Linked DNA regions of Rhinolophus ferrumequinum. The protein of the gene in region 3 interacts with the protein of the main gene of each other region in a pairwise test. Links are inferred from orthologs where the notes say so. Each region holds a gene or a part of one and is shown on either strand. Other genes may lie near its edges.

Region 1 (5,553 bases), on a different chromosome or scaffold from region 3:
TGCCGCTCCCCGGTGTGGTCCAGTGGTTGGGGGTGGAGAGGATACATGACTTTGGCGCCACACTGGCTTAATTTCACATCTGCCATCATTTATTTTGTTTGTGTAACCTTTGATAGTAATTTCACCTCTTTGAGCCTCTGTTTCCTTATCTGTAAAATGGGAACGATAGTATCTTCCTCCCAGGATTGCTATGATGATGAAATGAGATAATATGTGGTTCCAAGGGGCCCTGAAATTAATCTGATGAATTAAAGGTGGAGAAAACAGCTTAACACGGTGCACTTGTTCTCACATACATGGATGGAATAAAACAAATCAAGAAAAGAAAGGAGGCTATGTGTCTGGCTTCACAAATAGAGAAGTACTAGTGGAATCCACTACCTGCCTGTGCGTCCTAACCTCCTGTTCCTGGTGCTGAGACAGAACTCACTACCCACTATGTGTTTTCCTTATGATGCAGGTGAGTATTGATGGGGACTCCCGTGGCACCTAGATGCACAGGGAGGTACCTCCCACATGTCCATCCTCCCTTCACCATCATCTTCCCCAGCTGTCTCTCTTTTGTACATCAATGTCTTTTAGAGCTCATTCTCAAAGAGTGGCCAAGGACCAACAGCATCAGCATCCCCTGGGAGCTTGTTAGAAATGCAGAATCCCTGACCAGTTCCATCCCAGGGAAGTCATGTGCACATTGAAGGTTGAGAAGCTCTAGTTGGAGGTTTAAAGCCTCCACTTAAAATGCATAAGATTCACAGCTTTCTGAGTTTGATGGTGTTTGGTGCTGTCACTGGAAATGTTATCTCAAGCCACAAGAGTACATCCACATAACATTAGGAAATTGGCATTTCACTCGTCCTGGGAGGGTATATTCTTGATCTCAACAATATGAACCTACATTGATTTGCTTTTTTATTTTTAACTAAATCATTTTTATCAAAATACTATGGAATATAATTTTAGGGGTAAATTACATTTAGGCTTGTAATAGACTTTTCTATGCTTCTCCATTCCCAAGTCAACCATTTTAAATGCTTTTTGTTATTTTTCCTTGTACTTACTTCTATGCTTCTATTGCTGTTTCTACGCTTCTATTGCTATTTCTTGATGTTTAGACATTATCTGTGGAATTCCTAATGTGGAATTAAGGATTTAGCTTTCTTATCACCCTTCTACCCATACATACCCAAATACACAAACATACACTTCCCCTCCTTCCATTTTCCCAAAAGAGCTAAATCACTGGATTCTATATTCAGTGCTTATATTATGACCATGTAAATATTATTGTTCAACTTTGTGTAATAATTACTTTGTAATTCTTTCTTTGTAAATATTTATTTGTAATAATTACAAAGTAATTACTTTGTTTTATCATTTGCTGGGTCTTAAAGGCACCAATTGCTAATACAATTCTAAGTTTCCAACAGAACTGAACATTTATTTTGAATATGTCTAAAAACAGCAGATAATCATTTTATTTTCTTCTGGAGACATCCCTGCTGGGGATGATGAAGTGATCCAAAAGCATCTATCTTTTGATTCCAGGATGAGTTGCTTGTTTTCCCACCTGGGAGCACAGCTGACATCCCAGGCCCTTCTCATCATACCTCTCCTGTGTTTGGCCTCATTTCTTAAAACCCATATTCTCTTCTTTCTTAATTATTTGTTTTCCTGAAGTACATCCTCCAGTAACTTTCTAAGAAACAGTGCATGCAAGGTCAAAATTTTGAGACCTTGTATGGTTTAGAATGTCTTTATTCTGCCCTCACACTTGGTATGCATTTGGGCATATATACGTTTCTAGGTTGGAAATCATTTTCCCTCAGAATTTTGTGGGCATTTCTTTATTGCTTTGGCAAGAGCCAGAGCAAAGTAATCAAAGAATGGTCCCAAGGGTCAGTGGCATTAGCTTCATGGGCTGTTGAGCCCATCACCACCAAAGATATCAACGTTGCCAAACTTGAGTCTTTGGACAAGGCCCACTGGAGATAGATATGCAGCCTGATTCTCACTCTGTCTCCTCCTCTCCTAGCAGCTGTGTGGCCACTGTCTTCACTACCTGCCCCCATCAGTTTTCCTTCAAAATATGATATGTGGACAAGGATTAAGTTCTCTCATTTATGACCCATTTCCATTCTTGCCTCTCAAGGCACTAAACTAAGATGTGCTGGAACTTCTGGAACCATCACCCAGTTACAGACTATCAGTGGGGGTAGGTTTCTTTCCCAGACGACCAATCCCTTCATTACATGTTCATTTTCCTGAATTTCATTCTCAGAGGGTAACCTTAACCTCCAGTTTGGGGGTTACTATGTAGTAGCCCTCTTACGTTCATATCCTGTATGCCATTTCTGGAATCCCAGTATCTGGAACACCTCCCACAAACCATGGTACTACTTAGAATGCCTAAATAGCCCCGTCTTGCCCCATTCCTATGTAGCAGGTCACATGGGAGCCCAGCCACAGAAAGCCTCAGGTTTGCTTCCTGACAGAGTCTATCTCTGTATCCCAGGACTGTAATACTGAAAAAAATCCCCCACAAGAGCTCACAGGCATCACCCTACTCTCAGGGAAGAGAGCATTAGACAGGAAGATTGAATAACTTGTCCCTGGACACACAGCTCTGGGAACCTGCAGGAAAAAGAAAGCAGCCCTTCCTCCTTTGGTCAGCTGCCCATGTGGTGATGAGGTTAGATGCCTTCTTGGCAACACAGATCCCCAAGGGAGGGCCCTAGGGCAGAGAATTAGCAGAGGCAAGAGATTGAGTCTTGGTTCTCAGAAATCACTGACCTCCTCTGGCTAAGCCCCAGCTGCTTATGAGGCCAGAACCAGCAGCAGCCACTCCCTACCTCAGGGATCCACCTGGCAAGAGGTCACAATGCCCCAGCTGTCAGGCCCAGAATGGCTGACCTAAGTGGGAGGAGGTGAGAAGGGCTGGGTGGGTGAGCGTGTGGGGAGGGGGAGATTCCCCATGAGCCCCATTCCCCACTCCCTGAGCTCACCCTTGAGTGATTTCCACCCCTTCCCACTTTCCCACCCCACCCCCATACTCCCTCCCAGGAAACAAAGCCCCTTCCTGTAACCTCCGCCTCCCTCCATGACCCAGCTCTGCTCACTCAGGCCCAAAGCCCTTGCTTATCCTATCCCTGTCCCTCCCAGGGGCCTGGGTGCTGGAGAGGGATCGGGTCATCCAGTGGGTCCATGTATGTCCTCTTTGGACCCTAGTCCAGCCCAGCTCATGGACAGTGTCCTAGGGCTGGGGGCACTGGGGTTGACAATTTGGGCAGTCTTTTCCTCGGCTGGCCCAGCCTTGCTGCTGCTGCTGCTACTAGTCAGCTTCCTGGCCTTCGACCTACTCCACAGGTAAGTGGGCAGCAGCCTGGCAGATGGGCAGGCATGGGCAGGTGAGGAAGTGGTCAATCTCCCAAAGCCCGGCTGCTGCCCTCTTTCTCCACAGGCCCTCAGATCCACCGGGCCACAGCACACACTTCTCACAGGGGGCCTGAGTCAGGGGGCTGGTGAGGGTCCCAGATGGCAGGAGGCTCTACTCCTGCCGATGGTGGCAGTCACAGGACAACTCTGCCTCCAGGAAGCTCTGCTCCTGCTGCTCCTGGGCCTGGGGCTGTTCCTGGGAGCCTGAGGGGTGCCTTTGGCCCTGCTTGGCCTGGCTTTCTGCCTCCATCCTTGGGCCTGAGTGCCCTCCAGAAATACACTGGCCATAGTGCTGCCTCATTCCTCTTTTTCTCCATCGTGGGCTTGGCAGGGTGGGAGGGTAACCCATTGTCCCCAGGGGACCTCCAGCCCCACAATGTGAAAGCAGCCATAGAAGGTGAGATAAGGCACAGGTTGCCCAGTGCGGGAAGTGATAGCCATCTCAGAACCTGCAGATTGGGGTTGGCCATTCTGGCCTCCTCTGTGGTTCTAAAGAATGAAGGTCCAGAGAGAAAGACTTGCGAGAGAGCAGAGTGTGACTGGCTATCAGCCAGCAGGGAACAGACAGATATCCAAGAGGGCTTCCCACAAGAAAGCATGACAAACTACGTCTGTTGACTCCCCAGGCTCCTCTGCCAGCCTGAAGGGTCCACAGAGAAGGGCTTGCATGAGGCTCGCACCCTGCAATGGCTCCTTTCTTGGCTGGACCCCACCCTAGACCAGGTCACAATGGGCTCCTCTGGGAGGGTGGAGATGAGGGAAAGAGGGGACTCATCTCTGGCTGCCAGGCCGTCCTGGGAGCTACAAGAAGCAACATGACTTAGGTGGCTTTGCCCAGAGGTAAGACCCAGTCCCCAGCTCAAAGCCCCACCCCACCCACACTGGTGCCCACCTGACTCCTGCACCCACACCTGCCCTGAGGTCCCAGACATATCCAAGGCTGCTTCTGCAGCTGGCCTGGCCTCTCCCCAGGTGCACCAGCCATGATGCAGCAGTCGCAAATGGAGACAGATGCCATCGGGGCCGGTGAGGGGCCGCAGCGGGCGGTGCCCTGGTCGGCCTGGGTCTCGCGACAGAGTTGGCTGCGCTGGTGTGCATCCCACGTGCCCCAGAGCTGGACCCACTGGTGGGCCACATCCAGCTGGCGGCAACCACTGCAGCGTGTGCTTTGTGGTCTGGAAGGGATCCTCTACCTGCTGCTGGCACTGATGCTATGTCACGCGCTCTTCACCACGGGTTCCCATCTGCTGAGCTCCCTGTGGCCTGTGGTGGCTGCAGCGTGGCGACATCTGCTGCCCGCCGTCCTGCTGCTGGTGCTCAGTGCCCTCCCGGCCCTGCTCTTCACCGCCTCCTTCCTGCTGCTGTTTTCCACGCTGCTAAGCCTCGTGGGCCTCCTCACCTCCATGTCTCACCTAGGCCACGCTCAGGATTTGGACCAATAGAAGGGCAACCCCATCCCGCTGCTTGTGTCTGTTGAGCCCTGGCCTAGGGCCTGAGGCCCAGGGGAGAGGGAGGGCAGTGGGATCAGGGCCTTCCTGCCTTAGCAGGCTCAGACCCCCGGTCCCTAGCACTGGTTGTGGCATGCGTGCTGTTGCTGGAGCAGGCAGGGTAGACTGGCCTGACCTCTGGGCACCTCCCTCAAGCCCATGCTACAGGTACTGGGTGTGGAGGGCCAGGGGCTTTGAGGAGAGGGGACAGGGAAGAAGGCTTAACTAGGGGCATAGTTAGCCAAGCCACCAACAACTCCCATGTGGGTGTGGTGACACCACTGGGGCCCCCTTAGCAACTAGCGGCATCTTTTTCTTGCAGCTGTCTCAGCTTCAGACTCATTGAGAACTTCTACCTAGGTACTCCTGGACTTGCCATTCCTCCCACCAACCGCCTCTTTCCACTTGCCCAGGCTCTAGAAAGGGCCCACTGACAGAAAGCTAGCTGGCAGAGGACTGACCACAAGCCCCATGAGATCTCAACTAGTTCACCTCCCAGATCTTTCTGCCCAGGCATTTCCCCACTCCCTAGACGTCCTAGCTCCTGCCTTAGTCTACATCCCCAAATCTGGGAAATGGGCCAAACAGTATAATGAGGTTCTCAGAGAGTACCTACTCTTTAAGTTTCGTGAGG
Region 2 (7,155 bases), on a different chromosome or scaffold from region 3:
TAAATATTTCAGAATGTATCTCTAACATACAGATTTACTATAAAAACACATATTAAAGGAACCTGTTCCTCCTGAATTTTTTCCCTTCTTATTAAATGGTTCAAGTCAACACCTTGGGGTCATCCTTGACTATCTTCCTCTCATACCCCCGAGTCAGTCTAAGGAGTACTGGATAGATTCTGAATCTTCCCTGCTATCACTCTTACTAAGTCACATTTTGCCTGTCCTATGGCCATAGTTCCCTAACGGGTCTGCCTAGTACCCCTGTAACCTCAGAGTCTTTGCACTTGTTCCTTTTGCCTAAAGTGCTTTTCTCCAAAAAAACTGTGAACTGTGACTTCCTTGAGGTCCCCTCCTATTAGAAAGGCTTGCCCTGATCATGTCTATACAACATGGCAACAGCTGCCACCTGTGCCATTAACCAATCCCTTCTGGCCTTTTTCTCCATCACCACCTGATGTATTCACTCGTTTGTCATCTCCTGCTAGATTGTAAGCTCTGGAAGGGCAGATGTTTTGTTGATTTTATTCACTGCAGTATCACCAATGTCCAAAATAGTAGGGATAAGCAGACATGAAGTAAACACTTAAGTTTTTAAGACTCAAAATTATTCGACAGTTCACAGATTAGAATACAATTTAAAAGCTTTTTCCTAAAGAATTTGAAACAATGAGTAATTATAATTCATCTGGAAAGTAGTACATCTTGTGAGAGCTTTGCCAGATTTTAAAAAGTGAGTCTACTGACAAGCTAAAGAAAATTCTACTATGTGTACTATTTAAGCAGTGTGGATTATATACCTGAAAACGTATCTAGCTATCTAAAAGAGTGGCATTATATAGTGTAAAATCTGCATTCAGCATCTAGAATCATAGGGAATCAGCACTAAAGCAATACCAAAGGCTCTGCCTCTCTCCTGCCTCTTTTGCCGTCAACATTAAGTCTCAAAATCAAACTTAATTTCAGACTCTCAATTCACTCACTCTTCTTGTACCTTGTCTTTGAACTATTTTAAGTAGGCTAATTTAAATCAAGAAATTATTTTAACGATAAGGTTCAATGTCTTTACAATGTATCTTATATTTTAATGGAAGATGGGGGAGAGAGGGTTAAGGCAGCTAGATTCACCATGCAGATTTTAAAACTTGGAAATCAAGAACTAGAAGGAATTTCCCATTTTTTAATTGTTACTTAAGTGTTACGGAAATGCTTAGATCGGAAATGCTTAGATCGTACTAGATGATCCTGAAGGTCTCTTTAGGCTGTAACATTCTATTATTCTATATATCCTAAACCTGCAGTGTTTATCCAGGAAGAGAGAAGTGGCTTGCAATAAGTAGTAGGTCAGCAAGTACTCGGCTATTTACTAGCCATGCAAGTTAAGCAAGTTAGTTAACCTCTCTGAGGCTGCTTCTTTATATATAAAAGGAGGTTAACGTTAGTAACATCTATCTGGCAAAGTTACAGAAAGGACTGGAGATAATTCGATAAATGTCTAGCGAAATGTGTGACAGTTTTTTCACAACACAGGCAGCTAGTACCTTGTTCTAGTTCTACCATGCTTTTGCCAAGCCTAGTGCAATGTAAGATCCACTGTGCCAGTAAAATTGGGGTAATGGAGACAAGGAAAGTAGTAAAGCAATACAACTGTTTTACATTTCAGTATCCATTTGATACCCGTATTAGAAAACTTGTTTTCTCTTTACAAAGGAGAATGCTGTTGCTACTGTGACTATGTCATTAACTTAAACACCAGATCGTTTATAACCCATGTTGCGGTGAAATTTACATCTGTTCATAGATTTCACTGAGTTGACATAATGTGGGTGATGTAGGAAACTGTCCAAGTTCTCCAGTACTGACACTTCCTTGTGGGGGTCCTCGAGATGCTTAACTTTGCCCCTTAAAGTGTGTTTGAAACAGACCGCTGTGACTACAGGCACAACATAAATCTCTCCCCTCGCTCTCCTCGCCCTACTGCCGGTGCTTCCCATTTTGAGAATGAGTGGAAAGCCCCAAACTCCTTGTTTCCCCTTGGCCTTGGCAAAGTCGGGACGCCAACTGGCGATCTCCATTTCTCCCGCGGGCTGCCAAGCCCAGGGGCCGTCCTTTCATGGAGAGAGAGGGCTGGAAGGAACTGTGTTGGCAGCTCTTTGGGTTGAAGGGCAGGAAAAGGAAAAAAACTTCCTTCTTAGACTCACTCGGCGGGGAGGGCGAAAGAGAGGAAAGGAAAGAGTGGGGGTGGTGCAAGAACAGTTTGTCTCTCTGCTACCCCCGCGGGACTCGCGAGGCCTCCGCCCGCCCCAGGAGGGAGGTCACACGAGCAGCCGCGTCGGGGTCAGAAAGGCGGGCGGTGCGGTGCCTCGGCTCGAGGCCGAACCCAAGGTGTCCTCCAGGGGCGGGAGGAGACGCCAGGCTCCGTCCCCACCCCACCTCGCTTTCCGGGAGCGGAGGGTGGGCAGAAGGGGTACAGAAAACTGACGCCAGGCCCTCAGGGGCACCAGGCCGCACCCATCAGCCGGGCCTCCGGCCGCAGCTCTCCCGCCGTGCGGTCAGCTAGACTGGGTGCGGAGGCCTCCGGCTGGGCGCTCCGACGTCCCCGCCTTGGCCCCGCGGCTCACCGCCACCCGCCCAACCCCAGTACCTGTACAGCACGGCTGAGGAAGGTGCCCGCGTCAGCCGCCAACTTCTTCACGTTGAAGTCCATGATGTTCATCCTGGGCGGCAGCCGGGCGGAGCTGCCGGCTGACCTAGCGGGGAGGCGGAGGCGCCTCGGCCGGGCTGGGGCGCCGGCAGGGAGTGGCGGGGGCAGACGTGGTAGGTGGAGGGAGGCGGCGCCAGCTCCGCCGCCGCAGCTGTCGTTTCCGTCAAGGGGGAGCGAGAGGGCGGGGCGAGGGGCGAGAACGCACGCCTCCGAGCCCGACGGGCGGCGGCGGCGGTGGCCGAGAGGTAGGGCCTGTCCAGTCCCGAGGGTGGCCGCTAACGTCCCGCTGGCAGCGGGGGGCGAGCAGAAGACGAACAGACTGGCGTTCTGACCCTGTGGGGCCGGGGCCCCAACGGAGCAAGCGGGCGCCGGCCGCGGGGCGGGGCCTTTATAGAGGTTATCGCGGGAACAGCGACCCCTTCAGGACCGCCGCGGTATAGCCGCGGGGCGTGCGGGTAGCTTGGCCTGCTCCTTCCTCCCCAAGGAGTGTCGTGTTCGCTGCGAGGGGCGCGCCACAGGGCCGCAGCAGTGCTGCGCGCTTGTAGTTAAGTCCGTGAGAACCAAGAGCAGAAACAACTCAAACCCACCTCTTTATTTTAAGACAAAATATGGAAATTGTAGCAAAGAATTACAGTATCTGTGAAATAGAAACAACAGCTCCGTCATCTTGTAGCACCTGTGCCCAGCTGCTCTCTGACGCCTGGATGGCATTCGGTTGCCTATGTTTGCAGGCCCCCGCCGGGCCTGTTGTTTCTTCATTCTTTCAAAATTATTGATATCTATTGTGTACAGGACTGAATCTAGTGTTGGAGATATCATGCTGAGATAAAATTGGGGTAATCCCTGGACAAGACTTTGTCCTTGCCCTCAAGAAGCTCTCCGTTCCTTTACTTAACAACCTTCAGGGATTTCTCCATCCCCAGTGGAAGCTCTTAACTATTTGCTGCCGCCACAGGACTTGGTGACTGCCTGAAGGCAGCATGCACCTGCTGAGATACAGGACCAATCTTAGGTGCCTGCTTTGTCCAGAGTATGGTGCCTGGGACACAAAGTGCCAAGTGGGGGACACTAAGAATTATAAAATGGTGAGTGAGATAGAATAACCCTTAAAGATTCAGGGTAGTGAATTTAATAACAAATGATAATATGATGTGAAATCTGTTCAAAACCCCCTAATTCCGAGTAACTTCCTAACCAGTCTTCATGATACAGCCTATAGTTGAACTAAATTAGAACAGGTGCAAGCATGGAGAAAGACATTAGTATATCAAGAATAAGAAAACACTGTATTTTTTGTGTTGCTGTGCCCTTTTGTTACATTAGGGCTGGGAAAATGCAGGCCCAGCAGGCAATAAAATTAGCTTGGATTCATGCTTGGTTTACTGAAACAGCAACCACAGAAAGAGTGGCTGTTGTTAAAGTCTGAAAGATTAGTTCCTAAAGGTATTATAAGGAACAGCAGATAATATTTGTGTTCTTTTATTATTTATGGTGGTGACAAAAACAACCACTTCTTTTTAAGATAACTCCAATAGAATGACTCTACAGGACAAAAATATTACATGTGTCTTTCATATAAGCCTGTTTTTCCAGAAATATGGGACAGAAAATATATAATTAGTAATCTTGTTTTTCTTTTATTGTCCATTTTAGATTTATATGTGGAAAAGCACTCTCTCTTCACAGATGTCTATCTTCACAATAAGTACATTTGCCATAATCTATGTCCATTTCTACAAAAGAATCATAGCATCACATCCACCCTTATAGGAAGAAACTCTGGGTCCTCTTCTTCAAAGGTGTAGATCTTCCTGACTTGGAAGACGCCTTCACATCTTCCTGTTGAGCCCACTATAGCTGTAATACTGTTTCTCTTGTTTCACTGACAGAGTCACACGACTATAGTGTACTGCCTCAATTTTCTTATCATCTATTTCCTGCTTAATTCCACGTAGTTGACTTCCACTTCTGTAACTATACCTAAAAACCATTTTTGAGGTTGCCAATTATATTCTTTTTAAAAAGTTTTTAAAAAGATTTTTATTAAAATATAGCTAACATACAATATTATTAGTTTCAGGTGTGCACCATATATTCAACATTTATATACCTAAAGAAATGATCACCACAAGTCCAGCAACCATCTGACACCGTACCACGTTATCACAATCTTGTTGACTATATTCCGTATGCTGTACATTACATCCCCGTGATTTATTTGTTTTATACCTGGAGATTTGGACCTTTTGTTCCCCTTCACCTTTTCTCCCTTTAAAAATTTTTCAATTATAGTTGACATTCAATATTAGTTTATATTAATTTCAGGTGTGCAGCATAGTGGTTAGACATTTGTATAATTTAAGAAGTGATCCCCCTGCCTAGTCTAGGACTCACCTGGCACTACACATAGTTATTACCGTATTATTGACTATATTCCCTGTGCTTTACTTTACATTCCCTTGACTGTTTTGTAACTATCAGTTTGTAGTTCTTAATCCTGTCACCTTTTTCATTCTGCCCCAAACCCTCTCCCATCTATCACCCCAACAAATCTAGTACCCACCTGACACCATACTTATTACAAGATTATTGACTATATTCCTTATTCTATACCCTACATCCCCATAACTACTTTGTAACAACTAATTTGTACTTCTTAATCCCTTCCCCTTTTTCACTCACTCCCAACCCTTCTCCCATCTGGCAACCATCAATATGTTCTCTGTGTCTATGAGTTTGTTTCTGTTTTGTTTGTTTGTTTTGATCTTTAGATTCCACATGTAAATGAAATCACATTGCATCTGTCTTTCTCTGTTTGACACCCCACTCAGCATAATATCCCTTCGGTCCATCCAGGCCACTACAGATGGCAAGAACCCATTCCCTTCCTTGGCCAAGCAATATTCCATATATATGTATAAGCTCCTCTGTATCCATTCTTCCATCAACAGACACCCAGGTTGTCTCCATATCTTGGCCATTGTAAACAATGCTGCAATGAACATATGGATGCACACATTCCCTTGAAGTAGCATTTGGGTTTCTTCAGATAAATACCCTGAAGTGAGATTACCGGGTCCTTCTTTGTGTCTTGTTATAGCCTTTGTTTTAAAGTCTATTTTGTCTGGTATAAGTATTGTTACCCCAGCTTTTTTGTTTGTTTGTTTTCGTTTCCATTAAATATCTTTTTCCATCCCTTTACTTTTTGTCTGTGTATCTTCCAGTCTGAAGGGAGTCTCTTGTAGGCAGTATATATTGTTTTCTTATCCATTCAGCCCTCCTATGTCTTTTGATTGGAACATTTAATCCATTTACATTGAAAGTAATTGTTGATAGATATGTAGCAATTATCATTTGATTACTCATAATTTTGATTTTTCCCCCTTTCTTAAAGAAGTCCCTCTAACAGTCCTTTTAATACTGGTTGGGTGGTAATGAATTCCTTCAGCTTTTTCTTGTCTGGGAAGCTCTTTACCTGTCCTTTGATTCTAAATGATAGCTTTGCTGGGTAGAGTAATCTTCGTTGTAGGGCCTTGTTTTTTATCATGTAGAATATTTTATGTCAATCCCTTCTGGCCTGCAAAGTTTCTGTTGAGAAATCAGCTAACAGTCTCATGGGAGCTGCCTTATAAGTGACGAGTTGCCTTTCTCTTGCTGCTTTTGGGATTCTCTTTGTCTTTAACCTTTGCCATTCTAATTATAATATGAATTGGTGTGGGCCTGTTTGGGTTCATCTTGTTTGGGACTCTTTGCACTTCCTGGACTTGTATGTCTATTTCCTTCACCAGGTTAGGAAAGTTTTCAGTCATTATTTCTTCAAATACGTTCTCAATCCCTTCTTTCTCTTTTCTCCTTCTGGCACTCCTATGATGCAAGTATTGGTGTGCTTGATGTTGTCTCAAAGGCCCCTTAAACTATCCTTATTTTCTAAGATTTTTTTTTTAATATAATTTTTTGCTGCTCTGATCGGGTGTTTTCTGCTGCCTTATCTTCCATATCGCTGATTCGATCCTCTGCTTCATTTAGTCTGCTGGTGATTCCTTCTAGTATAGTCTTCATTTCAGTTATTGTGTTCTTTATTTCTTACTGGTTCTTTTTTATGGTTTCTATGTTATTTTATATGCTTTCAGTCTCTTTGTTGAAGTTCTCACTAAGTTCCTTGGGCATCCTTATGAGCATTGTTTTGAACTCTGTATTCTGGTAGGTTCCTTGTCTCCATTTTGTTTAGTTCTTTTTCTGGAGCTTTCTCCTGTTCTTTCATTTGGGACGTATTTTTTTGTTTCCTTATTTTGGCTGCCTCTCTGTGTTTGTTTCTATGTATTAGGTAGGTTTGCTATGTCTCGCAGTCTTGGCTGGGTGTCCTTATGTAGTAGGTACCCTGTGGAGCCCAGTGTCACAGTCTCCCTGGTCACCTGCACTGGGTGCTCCATGAGTTTCTCTTGTGTGGGTTA
Region 3 (7,328 bases):
CAAACCCAAGGTTCTGTCACCAGTGGGACATTCTGCCCTTCTCAGACTTGTAGGTCTATGCCTCGTAATCTCTTCCAGAAATTGCTTCTTTCACCCAAGGGAGCCAGGCCCTCCGGTACTTTTATTACTAAGTTCACAGTGACTTTCAACATCCTTGGTCATTGGCAAAAAGGTATCTTGTGTGTGTCCTTGGTCTGTCCTTACTTGTAAGTTGAAATTCTTTTCCTTGCAGCCCCTACCTGCTTTGATGGCAGTCCTGCCTGCGGAGGGTTCTTTCTATTTTGGGCACCCAGTTCTCTCTTTTCTAAACTTCCATTTACAACCTTGCTCTCTCATCTCTGGTTCTGGGTATCTCAGAAGGAAGTGATGCAAGATATTGATGTATAATTAGGCTCAGCTCATCTGGAAACTACTAAATTTAAGTGAGTTTAAAAAAAAATTTAAAGTATGCAGTAACAGTCTAAGGGAGAAAAAAGTAAAATACATATTCAGCAACTGGGATGATTTCCCCCACACACAAAGAATTTAAGGACAAGAGAATGAATTCTGTACTCTTTCTATTCCGAGGGTGCTACTTCCTAATTCGTGTCATACAATCAGTTATTTCTCCTTATCGAAATCAACTTAGAACAGTTGCCTGGGGTGAGGTGGGAGGTGATTAGAAAGAGGGGCATGAAGGAACTTCCTGGAGGGAAATAAAAAAGTGTTGTTTATTTTAACTGAGGTGTTGTTTACATGACCTATTCGTTTGTAAAAACTTGTGAATTGTAGACTTAGGATCTGTGCATTTTACTGCACAGATTAGATCTCAATTTCAAAATAGAAAAATTAAGCCAATGATTTGGCATACTTGGCTCTTGTCCATCTGCTACATTGTGTTGAAAAGAAATTAATCTGAGAAGGAAAAATAATACCCTATTGAGAAGGCAGACACATGTTGCAAACATAGGCTAAGGAAAACGGAGAGAAAAGCAGCAGACATTGTTAATGAGCTGAGGGGATATTTCCTGTTGTGGGGAGCTCAGCCTCTTCTGTAATGGGCTTAATCACTTCTAATTGTGCAGTCAGCTAATTACAGTGATTAGTCTTGCCTTCGTTGAACAGGCCTGGGAATCCCTTGAAGTCATTCTCTTAGCAGGACTGGATTGGATTTTCCCGAGTCTGGTGACCTCCTGAGATTGTGGCCTGCAATGGTCACCATTGGGTGTTTGGGGCTGTATGATCAGTCTTGGGGCCCATGAGTCATGTATGTAAGGCCTCTGAGCACATCGAGGACACGTGTGTACTCTGCACTGGCACTGTTCTCTCCAACACTATTCTCTCTCCACTGTTCTCGCCAACTCAGTCTTGTCTAGGTCGAAATGAATCACATTTTGAAAACAAACAGGATTATTCGCTGAGGCACGGGTGAAATGGCAAAAGAATTGAAACCGTCCTCATGACCATCAACGGGAGACTGGTTAAACAGATTATGGTTTGTCCACATAACCTAATACTGAAAAAAATAATGAGGACGCTCTCATGGGCAAACGTGGAAAGAACTCTAAGCTATGTCATTAAATGAAAACAAAAACAGTGGAGTATGACCATTGTGTAAAACAGAAGAGTGTATATTTGTATTTGCTTATGTATGTATAAAGAAACTTGGAAAAGAGACAAGAAACTTTAGAGTGGTTACAAGAAACTTTTGTGTGGAAGGATGTGGGGGCATCGGGGTTGGGAAGTGGGGTGGGAGAGAGATGATGGAGTAGGGAGGGACTTTTCACTGCAAACCTTTTAAAAATAGTTGTTGTTTTTTAAAATTATGTGAATGTATTACCTAATGAAAGATTGAAATCAATGAAATGTTCAAAAGTTTTTAAAAATAGGAAAAAGTTTTAGGGAAAGGGGGACCCCCTCCCCCGCCCGTGATCGCCTAATCCAGCATTTCCCACACAGTGGTTTCTGAAAGTGTCATAGGAAACTTGTGTACTTAAAGCAGGACAGGCATGCCCTGTATTTATTTATTTATTTACTTATTTTTTTGAAGGTTTATTTATAAATTGAAGGGTGCAATATTTATTTATTTATAAATTGAAGGTTTGTGGCAACCCTGCGAGCAAGTTAAAAACCTTTTAGGAAAGATTCACCGTTCCACATGCCACTAAGAATATGTGTGCGTGATTCATGGGAAGAGGTCAAAATATCAACATTAACAGGAGTTTGGAAGAAGTTGATTCTAACCCTCATGGATGACTTCGAGAGGTTCAAGACTTCAGTGGAGGAAGTCACTGCAGATGTAGTGGAAATAGCAAGAAAACTAGAATTAGAAATGGAGCCTGAAGATGTGACTGAATTGCCGCAACTTCATGACAAAACTATAATGGATGAGGAGTTACTTCTTATGGATGTGCAAAGAATGTGGTCTCTTGAGGTGGAATCTGCTCCTGGGGAAGATGCTATGAAGATTGTTGAAACGACAACAAAGGATTTAGAATACTACCTATACTTAGTTGATAAAGCAGTGGCAGGGTTGGAGAGGACTAACTCCAATTTTGAAAGTTCTGTGGCTAAAATGCTAACAAACAGCATTGCATACTAAAGAAACAGTTCATGAAAGAGTTAATAGAAGCAGCAAATTTCACTGTCTTATTTTCATAAATTGCCACAGCCACCCCAACCTTCAGCAACCACCACCCTCATCAGTCAGCAGCCATCAACATCGAGGCAAGACCCTCCACCAGCAAAAAGGTTATGACCTGCTGAAGGCTGAGATGATTGTTAGCCTTTTTTATCAATATATTTTTTTAACTAAGGTAGGTACATTGCATTTTTCGACATCATGCTAGTGTGCACTTAATCGACTCCAGTATGCTCGACAACGTAACTTTTATATGCACTGGGAAACCAAAATCTTCACATGACTCATTTTGTTGTGGTCTGGAGGTGAACATGCAATATACCTGGGGTATGCCTGTATAATAAATGTCCCCTTCTCCCATTTTAGGCATCAATATAGAGCTGCTTTTAATTTTTCTAAGTAATAATATTAACCAAGTTTTGGAGGAAGGTGCGGGGATGGGTCAAAGAGGTAAAGGGGAATATAGTCCATAATATTTTAATAATTTTACAAGGTGACAGATGGTTACTGACTTAGTGGGGTGATCACATCCTAAGGTAGGTAAGTGTCAAATCACTATATTGTACACCTGAAACTGATATAATATTGCATGTCAACTATACTTAAAAAGTTTCCAAAAAGTTAAATGTTCATTCCAAAAAGTATCAGAAGAAAGGAAAATCCTTTGGCTTGAACAGTTTGATGAAAAACGAAATTGTTATTTTTTCCACAAGCTCCACCAACAACCTCGGACAGAGCTGCAGACCAGCCTTTAGGAATCACCCCAGGGGAAACTGTCAGACAGACCTGGGCTCAGATCTGAATTCTCTGGTTAAACAGAGGAGTGATTTGAGGGAAATCTGCTGGGGGAAGGAAGCAGTTCCTCCCAGGGCAGTTCTGCGTGTTACAGGGTTCACTTGCGAGGTTGCCCTCACGGTTCCTTCCACGTGCAGGCCTGTTCCCCTGCCCCACAGTCCGCGACGAGACTCGCGGGCATGGACAAACGACTGGGTTCTCCAAGCCCCGTGGGGAGTTGCACGCTCCGTGGGCCACCTCCTCGGTGCCCCTACCTGGGGACACGGGCTGCACGTCCCGGTCCCCGCGAGCTTCCTGTTTTGGGGATGGCGCCCGCAAAGTCAACACGGTTAGCCAGAGGAGAAAGGACAAGTAGGCGGGGCCAGGCCGCCAGAGATGGAAACACCAACGGCTTGGCTCGCAGCCCTTTCCCCTTCTGGGAGCGCCAGGTGGGGAAGCTGGGAGGGGCCCTGGTGACATCCAAGCGGGCACAGGGCAGGCCTCGCCCCGTGCTCGCCCCGTGCGCGCCCGCCGCGGTTCCGTTCGCTCCTTCCACCCGGGGCTTTCCCTGCCACGGCCGTTTGGAGGCTCAGCGAGCACCTGCAAGAAGGTGACAAAAAAAAGACTGGCCACCGCGACCACAGCGGTCGCCTCATTGCGAGGAAGGGCCCTTTCTTGGCGCACAGGCACGCCGGGCCACCCACCTCGCAGCCGCACCTTCGGCGCAATCTTTCCATACTAGGGGAAAGGGCAGCGGGGAGGGCAGAAAGGGACGGCCCTGCGCGCTGGGGCGGCCTCCCATTGGCTGCTCTCGTTCCGCCCTCGGTCCCGATTGGCCGTGGGCTGAGCACACGGGCCGAACACGCTCCCAGCGGCGTTCCGCCGGCGGCGGCGGCGGCGGCGCAGCCAATGGGAGCGACCGGTGGGGCGGGGCCGCCAGCTCAGGGTCTCCCGGCGCGGACCAGTTGGTAAACAGATCCGGAGCGCGTGTCGGGCGCCAGCGGTGCGGCGACTTCTCGGAGGCGGCGCGAAGGTGACTGCGGATCCCAGCTTCCTGCCCCGGGGTAAGGCTGCCGCCCGCCGCGTGCCCGGAGCGCCGTCTGCCTGCGGCCAGAGCTGGGATCTGACCCGCCTCGGGCCCTCCTCGCATCCTCCTGAAGAGATAGCGCGGCTTTTTCTTTGCTATTGTCACGGCCGTGAGCTCCGGCACGCGGTGTGTGCGTCTCAGGATGCAGGGTGGGGGCCTGCAAATGTCGCCGACCCCGATCCCCACCACGGCTCGCGGGGCCTGCCTCGGAGAGGGGACGGGAGCCGCGGCCGGAGCCCCGGGGCGCGCCGAGCAGCCTCGGTGACCCGCCGCCAGATGCTTTGTCTCTTGGTCGCCAAGACAGCTTTCCTGTCTCGCTTTCTCCTGATAATCTTTCTCTTCACTCCCAGACCCCTTTGCACTGTCGTCGGGGGCTTTCACTGTCCCTGGCTGCAGGTTGGAGTCAGTGCTTTGACTCCCCTGGCAGCTGTTGGGTTTCACGGGTGGGGGGTTTGGGTGAACTTGAAAAACGAGGCCCTTCTGGGTCCTTCACTCCGTTCGCTTTGCTTTGTCCCTTCCTCCTGCTTCTCAAAACACTGGGGGTCTTGTGAGTGGTTTGGGCTTAACTGCTTAAACTTGTTCCTTTCCGTAGCCTCCCTGCGCCCCTGCCAAACGCAGGCCAGTTCTCCCCTGTGCCTCGGGGGATGAGGGATATTGCCGGGGCGAGTCTGGGTGCAGGGGTGTCAGTTTCTGTGCAGCCTTCTCTTAGCCTGGGTTGGGCCTGCAGCCCGTTGGAAAACTTGTCCACGCTCACTGTTCACTTGGGCCATGGGTGTGCGTGACAGAAGACTGAAGAGCTGGGCATGCCAGGCCTACCTCGGTGCCAAAGGATTTGAGTTTGCATGATGCCAGCCTGCCAGTTATGCTGTGCATGCACCCATCTGGGGCCATCCTAGTAGGAAGGGCCTTCTGAGAAAACACAGAGTGGGGGCTGGTGGTTCAGGGGAGCAGCATCTTGTAAGACGCCTGCGATGGCTTTGGACATTTTGTTCAGCCTTGCAAATAATGCCGACAGTGCAGGGCTGTTACATTTTTGGCCTGACCTCAGGCAACTCGGAATAAAAAGTGAAGCAGGTGCTTTCCAGTGTGTTACCTAAGAGTGTTTCTCAGTCTCCAGACGATCAACATTTTGCACTGGATAATTGTGTGTGTGTGTGTGGCGGGGCAGCTGACCTGCACATTGTAGGATGTGAAGCGGCATCCCTGGCCTGTATCCATTAGATGCTAGTAGCCCCGTCTCCCCCCCATTAGTTGTGACAACCAAAAATATCTCCTAGAGGAAAGAATCGCCCTTGGTGAGAACCACTGAGGTAATACTCTAAAAGAGTCTTCCCAGGATGCCCCTGAGTAGTTGAGAGGTTTAGGAACGGAGTAGTGTTGTGTCCCCTGCCCTAAATCGATGGCAGAAGCCCTGTAGATTGGGCTGTAAAAAAGCCCCACCTGAGGACCTGGGGCGGCAAGGAGATAGAAGGTAGAAACCCATGGACATTTGCTGTGCCTGCTGCATGTATGGCAGTGACTGGCTGGGTCCAGAGTGCAAAAGAAGTGGAAGACTGGTGGTTTCTATGTTTGGGGGTTTTGCAAGACTACGGGAATATACATATGAAATAATCACGGGGCAGTTTTTAAATAGTGGGCAAACAAGTTTAAGCTGTCTGAATGCTGGCAGAAAGGCCAACTCAGTTGTCCACAGGTGGCTTTTCCAAGATGATGCTTTACTCCTTACTTTTGGGGGAGACATCTCTTGTGTATTGTGATGTGGGAGGGGGTAGGGCCTGCATCTGCAGGGAGGGGGTGTCCGGCTGCACTGCAAACATATGTGTAGGTCTATTTTTATGTACCATGTGCCCGTCCTTGGGAGAGGCTCCCCAGGAGTGCAGTGGTGCAGCACGGACACATGTATGATTTGTGGGGTTCTTTTATATTTGATCGAAGCGTCAATGTCAAAGACAGTGAGCCATTTCTTTTCATACAGAGAAAGATGCTTTACCTCTGAGTCTGGATTTTGCCTTCAGTGTAACCTGGATTTTATGCCCCCTACTTCTAAGTCCCAAACGAATGGGGGTGCAGAAAAGCTGAAAAACGGATTACTGTACAGGGAAGGGAAACACATCCTAGGCACCTACCAGAAATTTCCCTTTCTTGTTAATCAGTTGGTTCTGTGGGGATGTATCAGGATTTTCCCATAACATTCCTTGGTCAGCTAGGGGGTCTTTCGGGCCCCTTTGAGAAAAGGATCTGGACAGGGAGCCCACTTCTCCTTTCTCAAAAAGTAGTGTTGAGAAGTCTATTATTGGGAAGCTCCAAACTTGGCAGGATAATTTTCCACCAAGAGCCATGGACCCTGAGTCATTATCTTTGTCGGTTGAAACAAGAGCTGTGTGCAGAATTAGACGGGAATATTTAGATAGAGAGTTGTCTTGATCTGACAGTGGCATCTAGAAATAGTTCCAGCATTCCTGCTAAACAGCAGCCAGGAACTTGGGCGAGCCAGTGGAAAGGAGAGCTGGTGGGAGTGGGCGAGTGCGAGGTCCTGCTCCTTCTGGAGTTGCACCTATGGGAGGGGTGGGTCTGCTGGCCCAGAGGCAGGACCAGGACCCCCAGTGACATGCATCTGGGTGGGATCTGAAAGGGAGCTTCTGCCCCCTCTTTGCGAACCCAAGTGGCACGGTATCTATTGGTCTATCCACAAGCATGTTGTTTGTTGTTGGGGTTATAGGCTTCTGAGCGCTTGACCCTTAGCTTTGAGGTCAGTGCCCCACAGAATATTGAAAGTTGGAAATGACTCTGAAAAACTCTTTTTGTTCTTCATACCTGGGTGTGATTTATTTTTAGTGTGTGCACGGA

What was found.
Region 1: the proteins of COQ8A (region 3) and TMEM239 interact in binary tests that used the Homo sapiens proteins (3 or more experiments, as listed by UniProt). The two-hybrid records come from large-scale screens. The link is inferred for Rhinolophus ferrumequinum from reciprocal best matches to the Homo sapiens genes COQ8A and TMEM239.
Region 2: the proteins of COQ8A (region 3) and SH3GLB1 interact in binary tests that used the Homo sapiens proteins (3 or more experiments, as listed by UniProt). The link is inferred for Rhinolophus ferrumequinum from reciprocal best matches to the Homo sapiens genes COQ8A and SH3GLB1.

What each region holds. Positions count from the first base shown.
Region 1 is NC_046306.1:25,000,007-25,005,559, forward strand, and holds TMEM239 (transmembrane protein 239), read left to right. Parts: upstream 1-3,928; coding exon 3,929-3,965; intron 3,966-4,190; coding exon 4,191-4,259; intron 4,260-4,353; coding exon 4,354-4,874; 3' UTR 4,875-4,996; downstream 4,997-5,553. Other genes in the region: C23H20orf141 (uncharacterized protein C20orf141 homolog), read left to right, coding at 3,098-3,363, 3,466-3,640.
Region 2 is NC_046292.1:65,169,226-65,176,380, reverse strand, and holds the start of SH3GLB1 (endophilin-B1), read right to left. Parts: upstream 3,038-7,155; 5' UTR 2,717-3,037; coding exon 2,645-2,716; intron 1-2,644. UniProt on the Homo sapiens protein: May be required for normal outer mitochondrial membrane dynamics. Required for coatomer-mediated retrograde transport in certain cells. May recruit other proteins to membranes with high curvature. May promote membrane fusion.
Region 3 is NC_046310.1:14,681,446-14,688,773, forward strand, and holds the start of COQ8A (atypical kinase COQ8A, mitochondrial), read left to right. Parts: upstream 1-4,314; 5' UTR 4,315-4,458; intron 4,459-7,328. UniProt on the Homo sapiens protein: Atypical kinase involved in the biosynthesis of coenzyme Q, also named ubiquinone, an essential lipid-soluble electron transporter for aerobic cellular respiration.